Linked DNA regions of Danio rerio. The protein of the gene in region 2 purifies or fractionates together with the protein of the main gene of each other region. This does not show direct contact. Links are inferred from orthologs where the notes say so. Each region holds a gene or a part of one and is shown on either strand. Other genes may lie near its edges.

Evidence for each region.
Region 1: the proteins of tmem192 (region 2) and ctsd purify together in Homo sapiens (affinity purification with western blotting; 3 studies listed by BioGRID, with this or other methods). This does not show direct contact. The link is inferred for Danio rerio from reciprocal best matches to the Homo sapiens genes TMEM192 and CTSD.
Region 3: the proteins of tmem192 (region 2) and acp2 purify together in Homo sapiens (affinity purification with mass spectrometry; 3 studies listed by BioGRID and IntAct, with this or other methods). This does not show direct contact. The link is inferred for Danio rerio from reciprocal best matches to the Homo sapiens genes TMEM192 and ACP2.

Annotation. Positions count from the first base shown.
Region 1 is NC_133193.1:17,515,707-17,521,920, reverse strand, and holds part of ctsd (cathepsin D precursor), read right to left. Parts: intron 5,572-6,214; coding exon 5,415-5,571; intron 3,318-5,414; coding exon 3,194-3,317; intron 1,319-3,193; coding exon 1,200-1,318; intron 1,121-1,199; coding exon 921-1,120; intron 810-920; coding exon 687-809; intron 1-686. UniProt on the Homo sapiens protein: Acid protease active in intracellular protein breakdown. Plays a role in APP processing following cleavage and activation by ADAM30 which leads to APP degradation.
Region 2 is NC_133176.1:21,148,949-21,155,894, reverse strand, and holds the start of tmem192 (transmembrane protein 192), read right to left. Parts: upstream 4,058-6,946; 5' UTR 3,966-4,057; coding exon of another isoform or gene 3,930-3,965; 5' UTR 3,828-3,929; coding exon 3,807-3,827; intron 3,366-3,806; coding exon 3,213-3,365; intron 1,508-3,212; coding exon 1,246-1,507; intron 1-1,245. Other genes in the region: polr1e (DNA-directed RNA polymerase I subunit RPA49), read left to right, coding at 5,411-5,468, 5,691-5,794, 5,908-5,984, 6,066-6,151.
Region 3 is NC_133182.1:39,575,640-39,582,290, reverse strand, and holds the start of acp2 (lysosomal acid phosphatase precursor), read right to left. Parts: upstream 4,469-6,651; 5' UTR 4,358-4,468; coding exon 4,274-4,357; intron 1,172-4,273; coding exon 1,076-1,171; exon of another isoform or gene 971-1,075; intron 907-970; exon of another isoform or gene 1-906.

The DNA.
Region 1 (6,214 bases), on a different chromosome or scaffold from region 2:
ATGTATTTAGTTTTGCTAAAAGTTTTATTGAGATGTATTGCTGGGGATCGGAAGCAAATTGGATCGATTGTCTAGGTTTACTTAAAGGAAAATTAAGACCCATTTAAAATGATTTAAGACGTACAAGAGGATATTTCAGTGAATTTAAGACATTTTAAGACCATGCAAACCCTGTTATTATTTTTCTGTCATTTGTTCGTGCCTGTGCAGGTCAGCACATTATCGATTCTGACCTTTGAGATTCAGAATTGTTAGAGAAAGAATTACGATATGTCCTGTTTATTTAAATCTAGTGGGTTTGGTGTCTTGTCAAAAACCCTATGACTTTATTAACTTGAATTTAAAGCAACATCACATTTAAAGTCACGCTCATGTGTTGACATTCAGGAAATCAGAACTCTTGTTTGTGTGATATTACTTACCTATCAAACATTATAGAAATAATCATTATTAGTTCAATAATATCAAAATTTAAATGACAGGTCATTTTAACTAGCTTTATGCTGTAAATGCTTTTTGAAGATTTGTTATTTTTGTGTTTTTTATTTTTATTTTTTTGCAAAGTGGGTGACATACTGGATAAAGTTAACACACTACAGCTACAACACTAAAGAGAAATATAAATATCACACACACCCCTAGAGGACAACTGCATTATTCAGCACAAGGTCTCAAAATTCTCTCACCCATCCATGTGAATCTGCCAATAGGCCTGTCTGCTGATGTCCACATAGTTGAAATCTCCAGTGTAATATTTGGGGTCTGTTCCTCCCAGTAGCAGCTCACCACCAGGCTGAGTGTCAGGGTTTCTTTCAGACAAATAAAACAACCATCAGGTCTGACTTTCAACTGCATTTAATGGATGCTTACGATAGACTGACATTTGTACATCTGGATGCCCTATATATAAAGAAGGGTACCTGTTAAGATAGAAAGAGAAAACATTTTTCTCCACTTTCTTCTGGCTCATCATCATGTCGAAAACAGGAGGAACCCCATCGACAGCGATGCGAGGATAGGCCATCCCGAGAATACCGTCAAACTTGGCAGCAATGAAGGCCACTCCTGGCTGCTTGATAGCTTCTCCAAATATCTGCTTTTCAACTGCAATATCTCCAATCTAAAAGAGACATAACAGATTGCTTTTTCTTGCTTTCAACACTTCAAGTGTTAAAAACTGTGTGACTGTTGATTCCTACCGTGCAGGTGTCCTGGCTGAGATACCCGGACAAACTTCCTGATCCATACTGGATGGCAAATTGAGTCCCATTCTTCACATAGGTGCTTGATTTGCCCCCATTGTACTTGTGATGAAGCACTACATGGTTAAAATAAAAGATATGCATATAATCAGTCATGTATAGTTTTTTTTTTTTTGTCTTGCTCCAGCCGTACATTCAGCCTTTGTTTAGCCGCTGCCCGCCTAGAATAATTTTCTTCCCGACCATTCCCACTAAATTTAGATCTGTTTTTTAAAACTTCATGTTTAAATTGGGCACTACCAAAAGAGAGAGATAACAGATAAAACCATAGGCTTTGTAAGCTAAATATTAGTTTTGTTTGTCCCTTTGTGATGAGACATGAGTGCCACCTTAAACCTGAGGTTCCAGTCTTGTGACTGCTTAATGGTAAAATTTTGAGGTATTATCACGCAGAGTCATTTTTTTTCCATTTGTGTCTAGGACGCATGAAAAAGACTCCCATACATCAGACTTGCCTAATGTTCTAACAGTAAACTGACCATTTTCTAAGGCAAGCCGAAGGACAGCGCATCTTCATTTTGCACTCCAATGTTGGTAAATCCCACTCTGAAAACTGTTAAGCAGATGACGCATGTACAGACTGTGTGGGAAAAAAAGCACATGCAGAAAGCACTGGTCATGCGTTCAATGTGTAACAGTCGTGAGCACTGGCTGTACTGGAGCTCAATAAGAATGAGAAAAAAAAAACACAGATATGCTATTCTGAAATAACGTCGGGACTCAGGAACACTATATTGTTAGCCTGCCTACTCCCGGTCAAATTACACCGGAGTTACGGACTGCTACCGTGTTTTATTCAGAAATTTATTCCCACACCGCAGGAAATCTGGTGTTGTCGAGAATGCAGACCTCAAGTTGCATTTTTATTGGTTATTAATTTCAGCTATATAAACATGCAAAAAAAAAAAAGGTATAGTACTATATTACATGGAATGAACAGAGACATATTCTTATTTTACACATCAGGGCATTTACCCACATATAAAAAAAAGGCTTTAGAACAGAGATGACAAAAGTTGGCCAATGGTAACCTTTGATTTGGCCCGCAAACCAATTAGAGAAGAGATGGGGAAATAATGGGGAAGGTTGGGGCAAATCCCTTAAACATTTCTAATTTTTACATCTATTTTGTGTTTGTTTAATCGCTGAGCTACAAAAAAGCAAAACTGTGAATTAATCAGATTTTTAACAAGTCAGAAAACGGCCAAAACACAATTAGATAGATATAGATTCATTATGTTATAAATTAAATTGTTTATGACTATTGTAAGTAGTACAATATAAAATCTAAAAACATATAATTATTGTTTTTATATATTTAATACTATTAAATTAGGAAGTTACAACTGCAACTTGATTGCAATACAGTTTGGTATATTTAGTTTGGCCCACCACCCTCAGTGTGTATTTTGGCCTTCCATAAAAAAAAAAAGGGTTAAAAAAATAAAAGAAGTTTTAAAACTGATGGTTATAATTGAATGTTTCAATTACATATGAAGACCACGTACATTTCATGACAATTCATTCATAAAAAAGTGGCATTAAAAAAAAAAACAACTTATAGCATCTAATGTCTTTAAATTAAATGTTGAACATTCATAAAGTAGTGAACTTGATAAAAAAAACACAATTTTACTTGCCTTATGAAACACCCAAACATTCACATCAAGCAAAGTTATCACTAAATCTATGCTACAAAAGGTAAACGCAAGCAGCTATGTTGAAAAGTTGATATGATCTATGACAAGATTACAGAAACATACTTGCAACCATGAAAAAAAAAAGTTGCCACCGACAAACTTGAGCAACACTGTGCCAAACTAAAGTAACTTCTTGTTTCTGAAAGAATTCACTTTAAATGAATAATGTAAAGACATCAGTGACCTGACAGTGCACTGTGCAAAAAGCTGGCAGGCTCTGTGTGGACTTACAGCAGGCGATGTCAGTCAGGGAACAGTGGACTGAAGGTACCCACAGGTTGGAGGATCCAGTGTCAAACACCACAGTGAAGGTCTGGACAGGAGTGCCAAGACCGATCTCGCCATAATACTGAGCCTGTAGACAAAAACCCAATTCATTTAAAATTCACCACCACAACAGACTGCAGGCTACAAAATGTGTTTCACAAAGGTTTACAGTTTCTAGATTCTTAAAAAAACTACTTGTGTCTGCAAATCTTGCTTGTGACACTGGTTTTGCTGTGAAACAAATTTTCAGACAGGTTTATATTTATTTTTTTAGACAGCACAACACATTTCCAATTATTTTTTTTCACAACAGTTAGGGATAGTTCACCCAAAACAGAAATTCTGTCATCATTTATTCACACTTGACCTGTCACAAACCTGTTTGAACACAAAAGAAGTTTTTTAACTTAAGGCTATTTCATGACAAAATGGATATAAAAAATATTACATGATAAAAACAAATTTAAATTACAATAAAAAGTTACTTAGACAAATATATACGGTAGAAATAAAAAAATGACACAAAAATATATTCAAAGTTAAAAATGATTTTTTCAGTAAAATTTTTGATAAATAAGTTAAGGTTCTTCTTGGTGGTACCTTTTTAAAAATGTCCATTAAAGTACTCTCCATATAAAAGTTGTCTAATGCTATTCAAACTTCCACATAGGCAGTAACTACATTCAGGTGGTGCTTCATTATTCAGTAAATAAAAATGAGTCAACCAAGAATGTCCAATTTAAGATCTAGTATAGACAGTTTGTTCATGTCTGGTATTCTTTAACCTATCTTGGAGGCTCTATCTACTGGACATTATTAGTTTGGAATACACCACAGCCAAAATAAATGGTGCCAGTAAGAAAACTGTACAGTTTTGGTTAAATATGAGACTGTATCAGACCTGATTTGTACCTAATATTGCAGTATTACTGTTTTTATTTTATTTTACTTCACTTTTTATTGAGTGGATCTCGGGCTTCGTTCAAAATTAAATGTTCGCTAAAAAAAATACTTAAGATTTTGGGTTTAGGGTAGGGCTATATGATAAGCGTTCTTTATCTGTAAAAAAAAAAAAACATAAGGCCTATGGAGTCCATGATGTAATGTATTTTTTATTTAATGCCATGTCAACAACCAATGCTATTTTCATGGCAAGAACATTTCAATAATAAATATACAATTAAAAACAACAAACTAATGAATACATCAATTAAATAAGATTTCTAGTGTTAAAACGTGATAAAGTTCTAAAATTTTTCCTGGTGTTATGAAGTCCATGAACACCATGTATTCAAGTTTTTATGCGTGTGTGTGAGATGAATACTGATGACCTATGAAAGACTTTTTAGCAGGAAAGCATTTACAAAGAAATGATTATAGCACATAACATATATTACCCATTCGTCATGCAAAACAAATGTAATCTTTATCCACTAAGAACTTCAACCACCTAAGCCTGTTTACAAAACTACAACTGGTAATAATATCAGCTGCTTGTTTCCAAATCGGATTGTTATAGAAACCTGTGACAAAGGCATTGACAAACAACCTCATGACTGTAACAAATCACACCACACACTATCATGATATCCATTTTATGAACATGACAGGAAACTGACAAGAATATTTTTTGGCTGAATACCGATGACAGAATAGGTTTCGGGTTCACTTTTTTCTCCCTCAACCGTAAATCACGTTCCACCATGTCGACACTTAATAATCATGTGACATGACTGAGCAAAACAACTGTGTGTTAAACTATAACTGACTGTCCTCATTCTTGCAACTTCCTGAATCTATAACTTTGTGCTAATAAAAAGTGCACAGACGTTCATTTGTCTCTGACGTCAAATTTACTGATTTACCATAATGCCGTGCTCAAATTAGAGACAATCTGTCTCTAATTTTCTTTAAATATATAAATAAATAATAATAGAAAATAATAAATAAATTATAAACAATAATAAACAAACAATAATAAATAAAGCAATAAATAAACAAATAAAAAAAATTTTGACTGAAGAAATTTAATTAACTTCTTGGATGACAAAAGGCTGAGTAAATAAATAATCAGGAAACTTTCATTCTGGAATTAACTAATTATTAAAAACAAATGTGAGCATGAAAATGCACAAAAACCCCAATCCACCCACACAAGACATGATGTCAGCAAGCAGATACTCACATCTAGGTAGTTTTTGAGTGTTTCTGGAGTAGGATCATTACTAGCTGGGAAGCCCAGGTTGTATTTCAGGGAATTAGAACTAGACACAAGCTCCTCTAATGATCTGCCAGAGTCACTTAGTGTTCGTCTGAGGGTTCGAAACTTCTTTAGTGGTATCCTGAAGAGAAACACACAGAAACATTAGCTTTCACGGTTTTCTTTTAGTCATATCTACAGCCCCTGCTGCAAATGACAACATTCTGATGCTAAAAACAAGCATGTCTAGGGTCCATTTTACACAATTCACATATCATCATGAACTCAAATTAGATTTTGTTCGTCAGGCTTGATTTACTACCACATTTATGGCAAGATGTAGTAAAAGCTGTTGTGTTATGAACTTTGAAAGGGCGGTGAGTCAAACTAAACCTCAGTATGTGGGTCAAGACATTAAACTCTAAAGTAAAAATAAAAAGTTCTTCCGCCATTATTTAAAATCCCATGGTGAACAGTTATAGATATTTTGCTTTATTACGGTACTTAAGAAAAAAGCCTTTTTAAAACTTTATTGGAGTATTTCTTGGGAAACTTTTAACGTCATTTAGGGCTGGGCCGATCAACAATACTATATTGAATCACGATAAAATTTATGTCAATAGCAATGATAACCTCTGGACTTTTTTACTTTATATTGATTTAAGAGCAATCACACAGAAGAAATGTGCAACAATGGGAATCCAAAAGTGTGTTGATATTAATGATGTACCAAATTTTCAACCAACATTTAATGGACCCTCTAATTTCTGTGGCTTTAGTCATTG
Region 2 (6,946 bases):
ATGTTATTAAAATGTCATTACTGTCACTTCTGATCAATTTATTGCATTAATTTATTGCATTAACATCATGTAAAATAAAAACTAAATGAATAAAAAAACTGACTGGCCTAAAAAGGTAGTGTAAACGTTGCCATATTTTGAAATATTGCATAAAATAAATAAAATATTACAAGGACTTAGTATTAGGAATGGATTTAGTAATAGTTGAGGAACATGAATTGTATTTAAAATAATAAATTAACATGGTTCATTATCAATTGATAAATTCCATATTTGGTGTACACAAGCGTTAAAAAAAACTTAAACAACTTGAAAATTCTCAGTTTCTCTAAACAAAAGTTGCCTCAAATCTCAGTATTATACTTTATTATAAATTGGTTCTATACAAATGGAAGAAATGTTATCAGAGCTTCAGAGAATAAAACAAATATCAATATTTTAATCCAATAATACCAAGTAAATCAAGCAATTCCAGAAAAACCGACACTTTTTCAACTGGTCTCAATTTTTTCCACAGCTTATTTACAGTCCTAATGATAGCTTAAGCACTGCCATCTAGCGGTCAGTTGTAAAACATTCATTCATTCATTCATTTTCTTTTCGGCTCAGTCCCTTTATTAATCTGAGGTCGCCAAAGCGGAATGAACTGCCAACTTATCCAGCATGTTTTACGCAGCGGATGCCCTTCCAGCTGCAACCCATCACTGGGAAACATCCATACACACTCATTCACACACATACACTAGACCAGTGGTCACCAAACTTGTTCCTGGAGGGCCGGTGTCCTGCAGATATTAGCTCCAACCCTAATCAAAAACACCTGAACAAGCTAATTAAGGTTTTACAAGGTATACTTGAAACACCAAGGCAGGTGTGTTGAGGCAAGTTGGAGCTAAAACCTGCAGGGACACCGGCCCTTCAGGACCGAGATTGGTGACCCCTGCACTAGACAATTTAGCTTACCCAATTCACCTTTAGCGCATGTCTTTGGACTTGTGGGGGAAACCAGACCACGTGAAGGAAACCCACGTGAACAATAGGAGAACATGCAAACTCCACACAGAAATGTAAACTGACCCAGCCGAGGCTCGAACCAGTGACCTTCTTGTTGTGAGGTGATTGCGAGTTGTAAAACATTACAGTGCTACACGGAAAATTGACAGCATACTTCAATCACCTCATGTGATCCACAGAGATTAATTCAGTTTCTAAAGTGACAGATAAAGAGAAGAAATTATGTTTCACCTGCAGAGTGAATGAGTAGAGGAAGGCTTTTAATTCCTTTGGTCATCCTGTAAAAGTCCAGATAACCTTTCCGTCTCACTGCGCTGTGGCGACGCTGGACAACACGATCGTATATAAAGACGACCACCCAGAGAGCAACTTTTCCCAGTAACACCACGGTTTTGGAGTCTATCCCATTTAATGCTGCAGTGCACTCAGATGTGTGTTCATCAGATATCCAGCAAAATACTGTAATTACGATACACACCACCACATAAACCACCTGTAGAAGAAACAGAGAAATGACAGAAACACATTTAACAAGGTGTTCTTTAAAAATACTGTCAGGATGCACAGAAATAAAAATATGTCATCTCTGGAACACAAAGGGGAGTAAAACATATTTATACTCTTAGTATAATAGTGTATATTAAATATTAAAAATTGGATTTTTTTGGTTTTCAAAGCTCTCCTGCTCACCAACCTGCACTTAGTTAAATCAAATATTGATGAAATATTGGGCCGCATTGTGGTGCAGTGCTGTCGTATCACAGCCAGCTGGTTTGACCCCCGGCTGGGCTAGTTAGCATTTCTGTGTGGAGTTTGCATGTTCTCCTCGTGTTCGCATGGGTCTGTCAAAGACATGCGGTATAGGCGAATTGAATACACTAAATTGGCCATAGTGTATGAGTGTGTATGGATGTTTCCCAGTACTGGGTTGCAGCTAAAAGGGCATCTGCTGTGTTAAACATATCCTGGATATGTTAGTGATTCATACTGCTGTGGTGACCCCTGATTAATAAAGAGACTGATTAATTTTCGGAAAAGCTGAAAAGAAAGTTATTGAATGGTGCAATATTTTTACAATTTAAAAATAAAATGTTTCTCTGTGTTAATAAATTAAAATGGGAATTAAAAAATATGTATTCTTATTATTTAAAGCTAAATTTCTAGCCACATTACTCGAGCTTTTAGTGCCGAAATATTTATGTATTTACAATTTTTATAATATCTATAATAATATATTACTATATGTTGATGTGCTGCACTATTTTAATTATTTATTACTGGTACTTTTCAGTTTCATCACAGTTTCCATAAAAACATCTGCATGGTATTTTTTGTGCGACAAATTACTTTTCAGGATTTTTTGATTAATATAAACTTCAAAATAACAGGATTTATTTAAAAGTAAAGCTTTTGTAAGATTATAATTGTTTTAAAGCCATCTTTAAACAATTTATTTGGTCGTTGATTTAAAAAATCCCGATGGTTACACATCACAGATCTAAATAAATATTAAGCAGCAATAATAATCAGAAATGTTTCTGGAGGCGGCGCAGTGGCGCAATGGGTAGCACCATCGCCTAACTGTAAGAGGGTTGCTGGTTTAAGCCTCAGCTAAGTCAGTTGGCATTTCTGTGTGGAGTTTGCATGTTCTCCTCTTGTTGGCGTGGGTTTCTCCGGGTGCTCCGGTTTCTCCCCCAGTCCAAAGACATGCGCTATAGGTGATTTGGGTAAGCTAAATTGTCTGTGGTGTATGTGTGTAAGAGAGTGTGTCGGTGTTTCCCAGTGATGGGTTGCAGCTGGAAGGGCATCCGCTGCATAAAACATATGCTGGATAAGCTGTCAGTTCATTCTGCTGTGGCAACCCCAGATTAATAAAGGGAAAAAGCTGCAAAAAATTAATACATTTTTCTGGAGAAAAAATTATGTTTTCTGAAAGATCATGTGACCCTGAAAACTAGAATTACTGCTAAAAATGTTGCTTTAACTACAGGAATAAACTACATTTTACATTAACACACAGATGTTTCAAAAACTATATAATACTTATGTAACAGCATAACACATTTTTTAAATATTTCAATGATTTAAAATACATTTTGATAAGCATTAACTACTTTTAAAGACATTAACCAATCTTAATGTTTCCAAACTTGTAACCAGTACTGTATACTTGTGCAATTTCTTGGTTCTACACTTACGTGTAAAAATGAAAGGACACCCACTGCCCAGTGAGTGCTTAATGTCTGAAACTCTCTCTTGATTGCCGACTCAAGTGCATCTTGGGATACGAGTGGTCCATCAATGAGAGGGTCATCATCAGTGCTTTGTGTAAAATCTACATTGGTGTTATTCTAAGCCACAAAAACAAGACAAAGATTAGTTTAAAATGGGCATTGTAATAGTCAAAGCAACTACAACAAATAGCTGAAAGCTACTTAACGGGCATCAAATGTTACTTTGAAGCTATACATTTCAAAGTGCTAATGCACAAACTCTATTACAGCCCAACAATGGCTTTCTATTCCACAAGAAATTTGTAAAAGACTAATGTCACTGGCTAAACGATCTGGTCAATTGCGCCATTATCGGAACACTTGGTTACCGTTACTCGGACAGCAGCCTAATTACAAATAGACCAGAGCCACTAAAAGAAGATTTAACTGATAATAAAGCACATAAGTTAGAGTATTTTTTCTAAAACTAGCCAACAACATACGCGCACAAAAATATAAAGAGCAACAAACACCGTAGCAGCACAAGCATACAGGTAAATAAAGGAATAAATCATTCACCTCAACGCTATTGTCTGTCATAAGATAAATATAGCTGTACTCGTGACTATTTTCCTGACGTTACACGTTTTTTGCTACACATAGAAACACATCAGAATGAACAAACAGAATATTTATACGCACGCCGTATGCCGATGTGCGCCCAGACTCCATTACCATGGCCGGTCATAACATATTAAGCCCAAAAATCAAATTTTTCGTGAAAATGCTCTAAGAAACATTTCGAAATTGAACTTCCGGGTGGCGATACTAACGTTACCAATCCTGGTAGAAGAAATGCTTCACTCATGAATATTAATTACGTCACATGTCAATCTTACTTTAGTATTGCGTGATTGGGTCAGAGTTAGATTTAGTAGGCGGTCACGGAAGCGTGCCTCATGAATATTATGTTACAAAGCTGTCATGTGTATTTCCTGCCTTCTTTTCTTTTCCAAAACGCTAGAAAATAGATTTGTCTTGGTTTAAATAAACTATATTTATTTGTCGGACGTGATGCAGTGGCGCAGTAGGTAGTGCTGTCGCCTCACAGCAAGAAGGGTACTGGTTCGAGCCTCAGCTGGGTTAGTTGGCGTTTCTGTGTGGAGTTTGCATGTTCTCCCTGTGTTCGTGTGGTTTTCCCCACAGTCCTAAGACATGCGGTACAGGTGAATTGGGTAGGCTAAATTGTCCATAGTGTATGAGAGAGACCTAGAGATGGGTTGCAGCGGGAAGGGGATCTGCTGCGTAAAACATATGCTGGATAAGTTGGCGGTTCATTCTGCTGTGTTGACCTCAGATTAAAAAAGGGACTGAGTCGAATAGAAAATGTACTCTCAACATTTTGTTTAAAAACTTTAATGGTTTGCCACAAAAGAGTTTTTTGGGTTTATTGGGTTTATCAAAATGATTGGGTTTTACAGTGCAGTTACAATAAAATGTTAAAATCTTTATGTTGAAACTGTAGTTTCAGAGAAATTTGAGAAACACCAGAGTTGATTATTTTTAGGATCCCTCTGCAAAACATGGTGAAGGAGCCTCAGACATTGCATTAATAAAATTGAATGTCAGTGCTGTCTGATCTGATTGTAAAATAAATCATAGAAACTTGTGCTGTTGGGCACAAACTGTCTGTGTGGTGTAAATAATCAGCATTACTTAGTCATGTCTACAAGCATAAACCTTATTCTGGACATAATCTAAACTAGTGTATGAATATTATAGTTTTATTGCTCAGTCCTAACATGAAATTCAATATAAAAAGCTTGTAGAATTAAGAATACTTATTTGCCATCATCAGTTTAAAATAAATTTCCTTCACTTTATTTTTATTTATTTCAGTTTAAACATCAGTTTAGGCCTTTATTTATTTATTTTGTCATTTATTTTGCATTTTAGACCAAATTCAGCCTTGGAGAACAAAATAGACTACTTTCAAAAGCTTTTACAATACATTTTGAAAGGCTTTTAATCCATATTTATTCAATTTTAAAAATAGTTGTGCAAATTCAATTAATATCATATCAGAACAATTGAATGGAAGTTTCTGTTTAAACTGTTTAAACCGATTGGTGTCGCTGTTCGTGCAGGAACGCGTGCTAATATCAGCCGAGGAAACCGTAATAATGGCGGCGACCTGTTCGTGGAAAACATGTGAAGAAACGGAACAGAATACTTTTATTGGTAATGTTTTAATACCCAGAGTATCATAAATGTAACATAATATATAATTGCTGTTATTTGTTAGCTGTAATAAACTAATCTTATTCTTCCTCTATGTATTTAACGCACCCACGTGGATATGGTCATCTCGACCAAATAATAAACAATGTACACTCAGTCTAACAGTATAGTTTTTAAAACTGTCACGCATTGTATTTTAAAGCATTATTCTTGTCATTACAGTTAAGTTCTCTAATGGAAATGTGAAAAATGCCGAGGAGCTGGACTTTACTGTCTTCAAACACTCAAATGCATCAAATCCCAGAAAGAAAAACAGACGAATAGTGGTAAAACACTTATACCTACTGAAACTGCGTTTGTTTTATAACTTTAAAAAGTCTAAATTGAAGCAATTGTGTTGTTTGTGCTTTTAGGAACTAACTTTATCTTTTCTATGCAGGTTGCAGATTCAGATAGGCTTCCCTATGTAGGGAGCAATTTTGGGTCTGGATCGCTGCAGTCTAATAATATGTGCAAGTGAGGTCATCACGTTGTTATTTATTTGCTGAGCAACACTTAAATAACCTCTCAATAATGGTGTGTAAATGTTGTCAACAGGTATTTTGTGGGAGTTCTTGACAAGCAGACTATGCAAATGAAAGTTCATAGTGCTCAGCTGTTCAATATGCTGCCCGTCATACCAGGTAAACAGTTTTACATCTGAAATATTATGGACATAAATGTTTAGGGTTCTTAGAGTTCAAAGGAACTTTTACTCGTTTTTGGGGGTGAAATTGTTTGCATGCCTCTAAGTCTGTAACGTTAGTAATATTATTTGTATTACCATGTTACTGAGTGCTGTTAGTATAATATCTCATACATTATTATATTGTGTAATAATCGTTAATGGTTATCATTTATAGTGAACATGAATATTTATACTATTCAAATATTTTTGTCATGACAGCGCTCTGAGAGGTTTAGTATGGTAATATATATGTATTTGGCATTGTTGATGTATTTGGTCTTGGCGGCATAGATCTGCTACGCAGCTGCTGCTTTGATTGCTATGGCGGAACAAGTTCTGTGACTTGCTGCTGCCAGTATATTCACAGACATGCAGTATAGACTTTTTTGAGAGATGTAAACAATAACTATGGTTTAAATGTATTTCCTGTTTTACATTTTTTGTTTCCATAGTTTCTAAAAGGTCCACCTATTGATAATGTTATGACAGCTGTTTTTAACGTTAAGATGGGATTTCATTGAAATGCCTCTTGTTACAGTTATGAAATAGTTTGACAGGACATGTTCATTGGCCAGTGATATCATATTGAAATGGTATATATATATATATATATATATATATATATATATATATATATATATATATATATATATATATATAAAACCCATAGCAGATATATGGAGGGGGTACTCTGAAAAACACACTTTATACTATATAATGCTCCACTATTTTCTTTTCCAATTCAACAGTA
Region 3 (6,651 bases), on a different chromosome or scaffold from region 2:
AGCGCTATGTAAATAAGGCTAACTAGGCAAGTTAGGATAATTAGGGAAGTCATTGGACAACAGTGGTTTGTTCTGTAGCCAAATGAAAAAAAATCTTAAAGGGACTAATAGTATAAATATTGACCGTCATTTTTTTCTAACTGATTTTATTCCAGCCACACACTTTTAGACTTTCCCCAGAAGAAAAAAAAAAAAAAGAAACACTGTAAAACTTTCCCTGGTCTGTTAAACATCACTTGGGAAACATAAAAAAATTCACATTTCACAGGAGGGCTAATAATTATGACTTCAACTGTATGTCATGTTTGGATTCTGGGCGACAGATTGAAAGAGCAGTCTATCATGCCAAATTTACAAAGCAAAGTTGACATAGAAGCACTTCTGAGGTGGCATTAAGGTGTCTTTCACAGAACACTTAACGCTGCACAGAGGTGCTATAAATGCTTTTACACAACAATTACAACCATATGCTTTGACATTAGGGCTACGAGTCAACCTAGACATATTTTAAGCAGCCTTTCAAGAGTTCACACTCAGATATTGTTTGACAAATGTTAGCAGGTTTGGCATGCTGTCCCCGGAGCGAACACTGTGCTCGGAGATAGTTGAGCACAGGGGTAACGCCTGGTCCATAGAGCATGTGAGGGGAGTACGAGATCAGCTTGTTCTCGAGAGCTCCCCATGGTAAAGGAGGAAAGGAGGAGAATGGGTGGATGGGGGATTTCTTTGGAAAACGAAGATAAGGGAGTAGTTCTAGCTAGGCTACTGATATTTTGAATTAATCTGATTGGCTAACTAATGAATGTAGATGGGAGGCCAGCTGCAGTCAATCATATCACTGCTCCTAGCGAAATTAGTTTGTGAAACTACACTTATTCACATTATTTTGATCAGGCACAAAGTGGCCTTTTTAATTGCGCACCAAGAGGTCAAAAATGGAAGAAAAAGAAAACATTTGCACAGATGAAACATTTATGAATATGCATCATGCATACATCTGATAAATTCTGCATAATACTCCCCCAAAAGCATGAAACAAAAACAAAGAGGGTATGGAATGTGTGTTTGTGTATACCTGAGAGAGCTGTCCAAAACCCTGAGGCCAGTCACTCTCCTTGTATGGATCATTTGGATAGGCCTTAATCGGAGATCTGTCACCATGTCGGTAGAGCTGAGGGAGAGGAAGTCAAATTCTTCATGAGTGTGTGTGTTCAGGATAATGAACTACACTGTGCAACAGTGGCTAGATCAGCAAACTGAGCTTGTCATGTGCTCATGCTGACACCCGGACACAAGCCACAGAAGTCTGTAAACACATTCTAATTGGATAAACAGATTCAGTCTATCTCCTTATCTTCATCTCTGGGCTTCACAGAAACCAGCCACGTTTAGAAAGTTTCAGCTCTGAGAGACGGTTACTGCATTATCAGTCTCATGAAGGTTTACAGTGAACACTTTCATTTATAACCATGTTATTCAATCGTGCTTAAAATGACAAGCTCTGGTTTAAACTTCCTCATTTGCAAGGAATCGTGATTAACCAGAACACACTTTAAATGAAACACTATTAAACAGTAGCCAAGTTTCAGTATCTAACATGACTATACTCAAAATGAAAGGACAGTTGAGGTTTTTGTCTGGTAAAGCAGGAATATGAGAAACTAATTACAACAATATACAGGTAAAACATTCACATCTCAAATACAACAGTATAACAACAAAAGTAGATTAAACACATGGAATTATTAAAACAAACAAGATTAATTAACATATATTTAAATTAGGGCTGCAGAATATATTGCTTCAAAAGCAATGGGGCAATGTGATCATTCACAATAATGACATTGCGAGTATACACAATGCTGAGTTTGGATTATAATTGATCATTATAAAAGTGTTTTTGAGGCTTGTGACTGTGTGAGGATTTTAAAAGCATTCGGGCATAAGAAATTGTACCATTTGTAACTTCGAAAAATCAATAATGATTTTTTTTTTTAATTGTTTATAAAACAAAGACTACCCAGTATTTTTTACATTTGATTATTCAATTACTGTATACCTGAATACTGTTTGACTTCTCGGAAAACAATAAAAGCTGTTTATTTAATTGGTATCTTTTTCTTAAATAAATTCATGTATGCTTATAGATTGTTTGTTATATTTTAGGCAAATGCACTCCCCTACAGAATCATACCAATCAATCTAAAATGATAAAATCTTACTAAAAAGTTATGATGAAATCGTTTTCATTCAATCATTTTCTTGTCGGCTTAGTCCCTTTATTAATCCGGGGTCGCCACAGCGGAATGAACCACCAACTTATCCAGCACATTTTTTATGTAGCGGATGCCCTTTTAGCTGCAACCCATCTCTGGGAAACATCCACACACACACACACGCACGCACGCGCGCACACACACACACACACACACACACACACACACACACACACACACACACATACACACAATCACACACACACACACACACACACACACACACACACACACACACCCGACAATTTAGCCTACCCAATTCACCTGAACTGCATGTCTTTGGACTGTAGGGAAAACCGGAGCACCCGGAGGAAACCCACACAAACGCAAAGAGAACATGCAAACTCCTCACAGAAACACCAACTGACCGAGGCTCGAATCAGCGATCCAGCGACCTTCTTGCTATGAGGCAACAGCGCTACCTACTGCGCCACTGCGTGGCCGAAATCGAATTCATAACACAATATATATTGCACACTAAAAAATTTTTTGATTTTTCCAATATCGTGCATATTGTGCTATATAACGTGCTGAGAATGGACTGAGAGATAAAGGTGAAAGAGATTTAAATGTTCATTGAAGTAAGTTTCACATGAAAATAGTTTAGTATTTCTACTTTAATAATTCCTCATTTAATTCAATTTGTTGCTTGCTGTTTCTTTGAGAACAGCAAAAATCATATCAAAGTAACTTTATTTTAAATTTAAAAACTAAGGAAAATTTCATTAAAAACTTGAATTGTAAATTATTAAATTGTTATGGATGTGACATTTTCAGTAAAAACCTAAAACATAAATGCACAGAAAGTATATGTTAAGATTATATTGAAACATCGGTTTATATTTTCCAAAGTAACTCACCACAGAGTTATGGGATCAGAAAAAATAATAATCTGCTAACATGTGTTATATTTTAAATGAGTAAAAATAAACATGTGTTATGGATGTGACCAAAAAGTCTGCGAGTTTACAGTATTCAACATATTTTGTAGAAATTCTGTGACTCAAACTGCACAACCCCAAAGAAACAATGATAATCAATAAAATGAGAGTTGGCTCACTATAGAACAGAAAAGATTGGCTGTATTTTATTTAACATTTTTGCATTTTGAGGAAAAAGCTCCATTATGGATGCGACACCTCTCTGTTATGGATGTGACAGATGTGAAATTGACACATTTGTGACTTTGGTAATCAAATAGAATGGCTTGAAAACACTGACAGATACGTTTTTGAGTATTTTTAGAGTACAGTAAAATACAAGCCTAAGCAAAAAAATAAAAAATAAAAAATCTAGAAAGGGTTTCGCTATTTTCGTGAAACATGGTTGACATTTGCATGGAATTGCTCCATAAATTACCTTGCAGACACTTTTTCTATCTTTATCCATTAACGTTACAAATGGATTCAGTACAAGTTAGCCCTTGGTTTACCAATTCGTTCATATGACAGACATTCTGTAATAGGCTTGCAGTTGCATTACTAATTTCAGAGATCTTTCTCACCTAAAAGCCAAGCAATAATGTTACCCTTACTAAAAAAAATAGGTGACATTTAACCTACAAAGGTGTTTTATTGCTTTGACGAAAATGGGAGGTGAAATGAAGCAAAACAACATGTCATGTGACGGTCTGCTCTTCAGATTGCTCAATCTGTACTTTAATGAGGAATTAATAAAGATCAAGTCGAAAACTACATTTTACCGAAATTACAGAAAATGCGAAAATCTGTAGAAAGCAAAACATTCGAGAGAGAAACACGAATTTAGACATCAACTAACAGGTAATTACAGAAAGGCACACAGCTGAATAACAGAAATATGACACCCCTAAAGAAACACACGAGGCACATAATAAAAGGTCTGACTGAGACTTCGCGTTGTCAATGTTTTTAAAACGAAAGGTTTTGTAAATAGCTTCAGGCCCCGGTTATTCAGTTACTGTCTGTTACATACTTAACGTTTGTTTTTTTAAAGGACAGATGTATTATTAAACTCACCACAGTGACAAACTTTAGCGTCCTCTCTCCACTGGAAAGACTGAAAGCAAAGAGAAAGGCAACAATCACAAAACAGGAATCCATACTTGCGGACGAGCGGATGAGGCACAGTACAGTAACCTCATTGAAAGATCGTTGCCTGGCTGTCGTGGCTGATAAACACAAGACGAGCTGCAAGCTTTTCCGGGTAACGGAGAGCTGCCATTGGTCAATGTGTTCAGCAGCTTCAAAAACACGAGCAGTGATTGGCTCTCACGAACGGAGAAGGACTTGGAGCAAAACAGCAAACAATAGTTGATTGTTTTCTCTTTGTTTAAGGTGCATGACTTCTCCGTCATTTGAAAAAAAAATTCTGAATGAAAATCCCCTCTTTTGTTATTCAATTGGTATATATGTTTGACTTAGTTTATGTGTAATCTAACATTTAGCAAGACTGAATATGTGAATAAAAATTATTTGATCACTTAACTGCCCATGATCAAATATAAATATAGGACAACGGAATGTGAATGTAAATATAACTTGGCTGTTTAGCACAAGATTTCATCTTGACTGGTTCATCTGTGTTTTTTTTTTTGACAGATCAACCTGATTGGCTGGCTCATGAACGATGTTTTCGGTAATTGATTATGAAGGATCTGTGCTCTACTGGCTTTGTCTGGACTCGTTTTGGCAGGACACACACAGCAACAAATCTAAAGTACACACGACCCACTTTTGGGGGAAAATAAAAACATTACAAAAATATTCCTTAAAGAAAATCTGAAATATTGCTAAAGTTTCACCTAACGTACTTCCGCTACTACATATCTACAATTTCATGGATTAAAATCGGACAAAAATAAGAGGAAAAGGTAGGCCGAACCTGAGACCATGAGAGGTGTTGTTTTAAATTTATACTGAACAAAAGACTCCTAATTTAAACACTATGTAATTGTGTGGATTGATACTTTGCCTCGCATGTAAATTAGCTTGCTAACTGCTAAATGTTAAAGCTGTAAAGTTAATTTCTTTATTAAAAAGTAATTATTGTAATTTAACGTTAACGTTATAACCTTCACTAGTTGCTTTATTCTGTGACAATGAATTTACTGTAATGAGTGACACTCCTTTTATTGCAGGTTAAACTTAACTTATATATGTCTAACGTTAGCTGGAGTCAAACATGAGCTATCTTTGACCTGACGTGCTATAGTGTCACAAAACGTGTAAAGCTTTTCCACGTGTTTTAACCCTGTTATTTTGGTAATTGCATTCCTGTAAATAATAACTACGTATTTATAGTAGTCTTTGCATTTTTGATAGTTAAACTATGCATTGTTTACCCATGTAATAGTTTTTGTTTGTTTTATTTTTTAATTTATTAATTTTTATTTACTGCTTAATTCTTTATTAGTAGAACTGAAATGGAAATATGGTTAGCTTTTATTGTAGTTAGACTCGTCATTGTGTATTGTGTATTAGGTATTGAGGTCTCTGTTCAGTTAGATTGTTGTGTGAATATCTTTTAATGTTGTTACTATTTCAATTTTTTAAGTAAAGCATACACTTTAAAAGTATGATTGTGTTCAGTATTATGTTGTTTGAAGAAAAATACACAGTGTTCATTAACTAGAATTAAAAGTAAATTTCAAATGTATTCAATGTTACTTTTGCATAGCTAAAAAATAACAAAAAATAAATTACCATAGTTAACTTGACATACTTTAAGTTGACTTAAAGCCTGTGTGGAAAACCTTATGAAAGAAAAAGTAAACTTTTTGTTTAATTTATGTTTAATTAATGATTTTTTTCTCTGTCAAGGTGTTGGCTATGAAAGATGAAACCTTTATTTTTTTTAAATCTATAAATTAATAAATAAATACACAAATATATAATAAACGAGTAAATGTATATAAAAATCCACAAATTCCTGCATAACTCAATCAGGCAGGTACAAAATTTAATAAATTACACGAATGTTACGGGAATAAGAAAATGGTAAACTGAAAGCTCCACCCCCCGCCCCCTCCCAAATGTTTATTCATTCTTGATTGTAGTTATGTATTTACCTTTCCTCAGTAAACATGCTAATGAGACTGGTTCTGTCAATCATCAGAAAGTGGTCTTCATGCCATTATTGGTTGATCGTTAGAAAACATTTGCTTTTCATTAAAAAAAAAAAAAACTATAATTTTTTTTTACTGGCTTCTGATGATTGACTGCTCTATTAATTATTTATACATTTATTTATGCAGAAAGTTTATATATATACACATTTTTTTTGCTTATTTATTGTTTTATTTATGCATGAATTTATGGATTTATTTACTCATTTATTTGCGTATTTATTTATTGTTTTTGCGTCCTCCATAGTTGACTAATTCATCATAAGACAG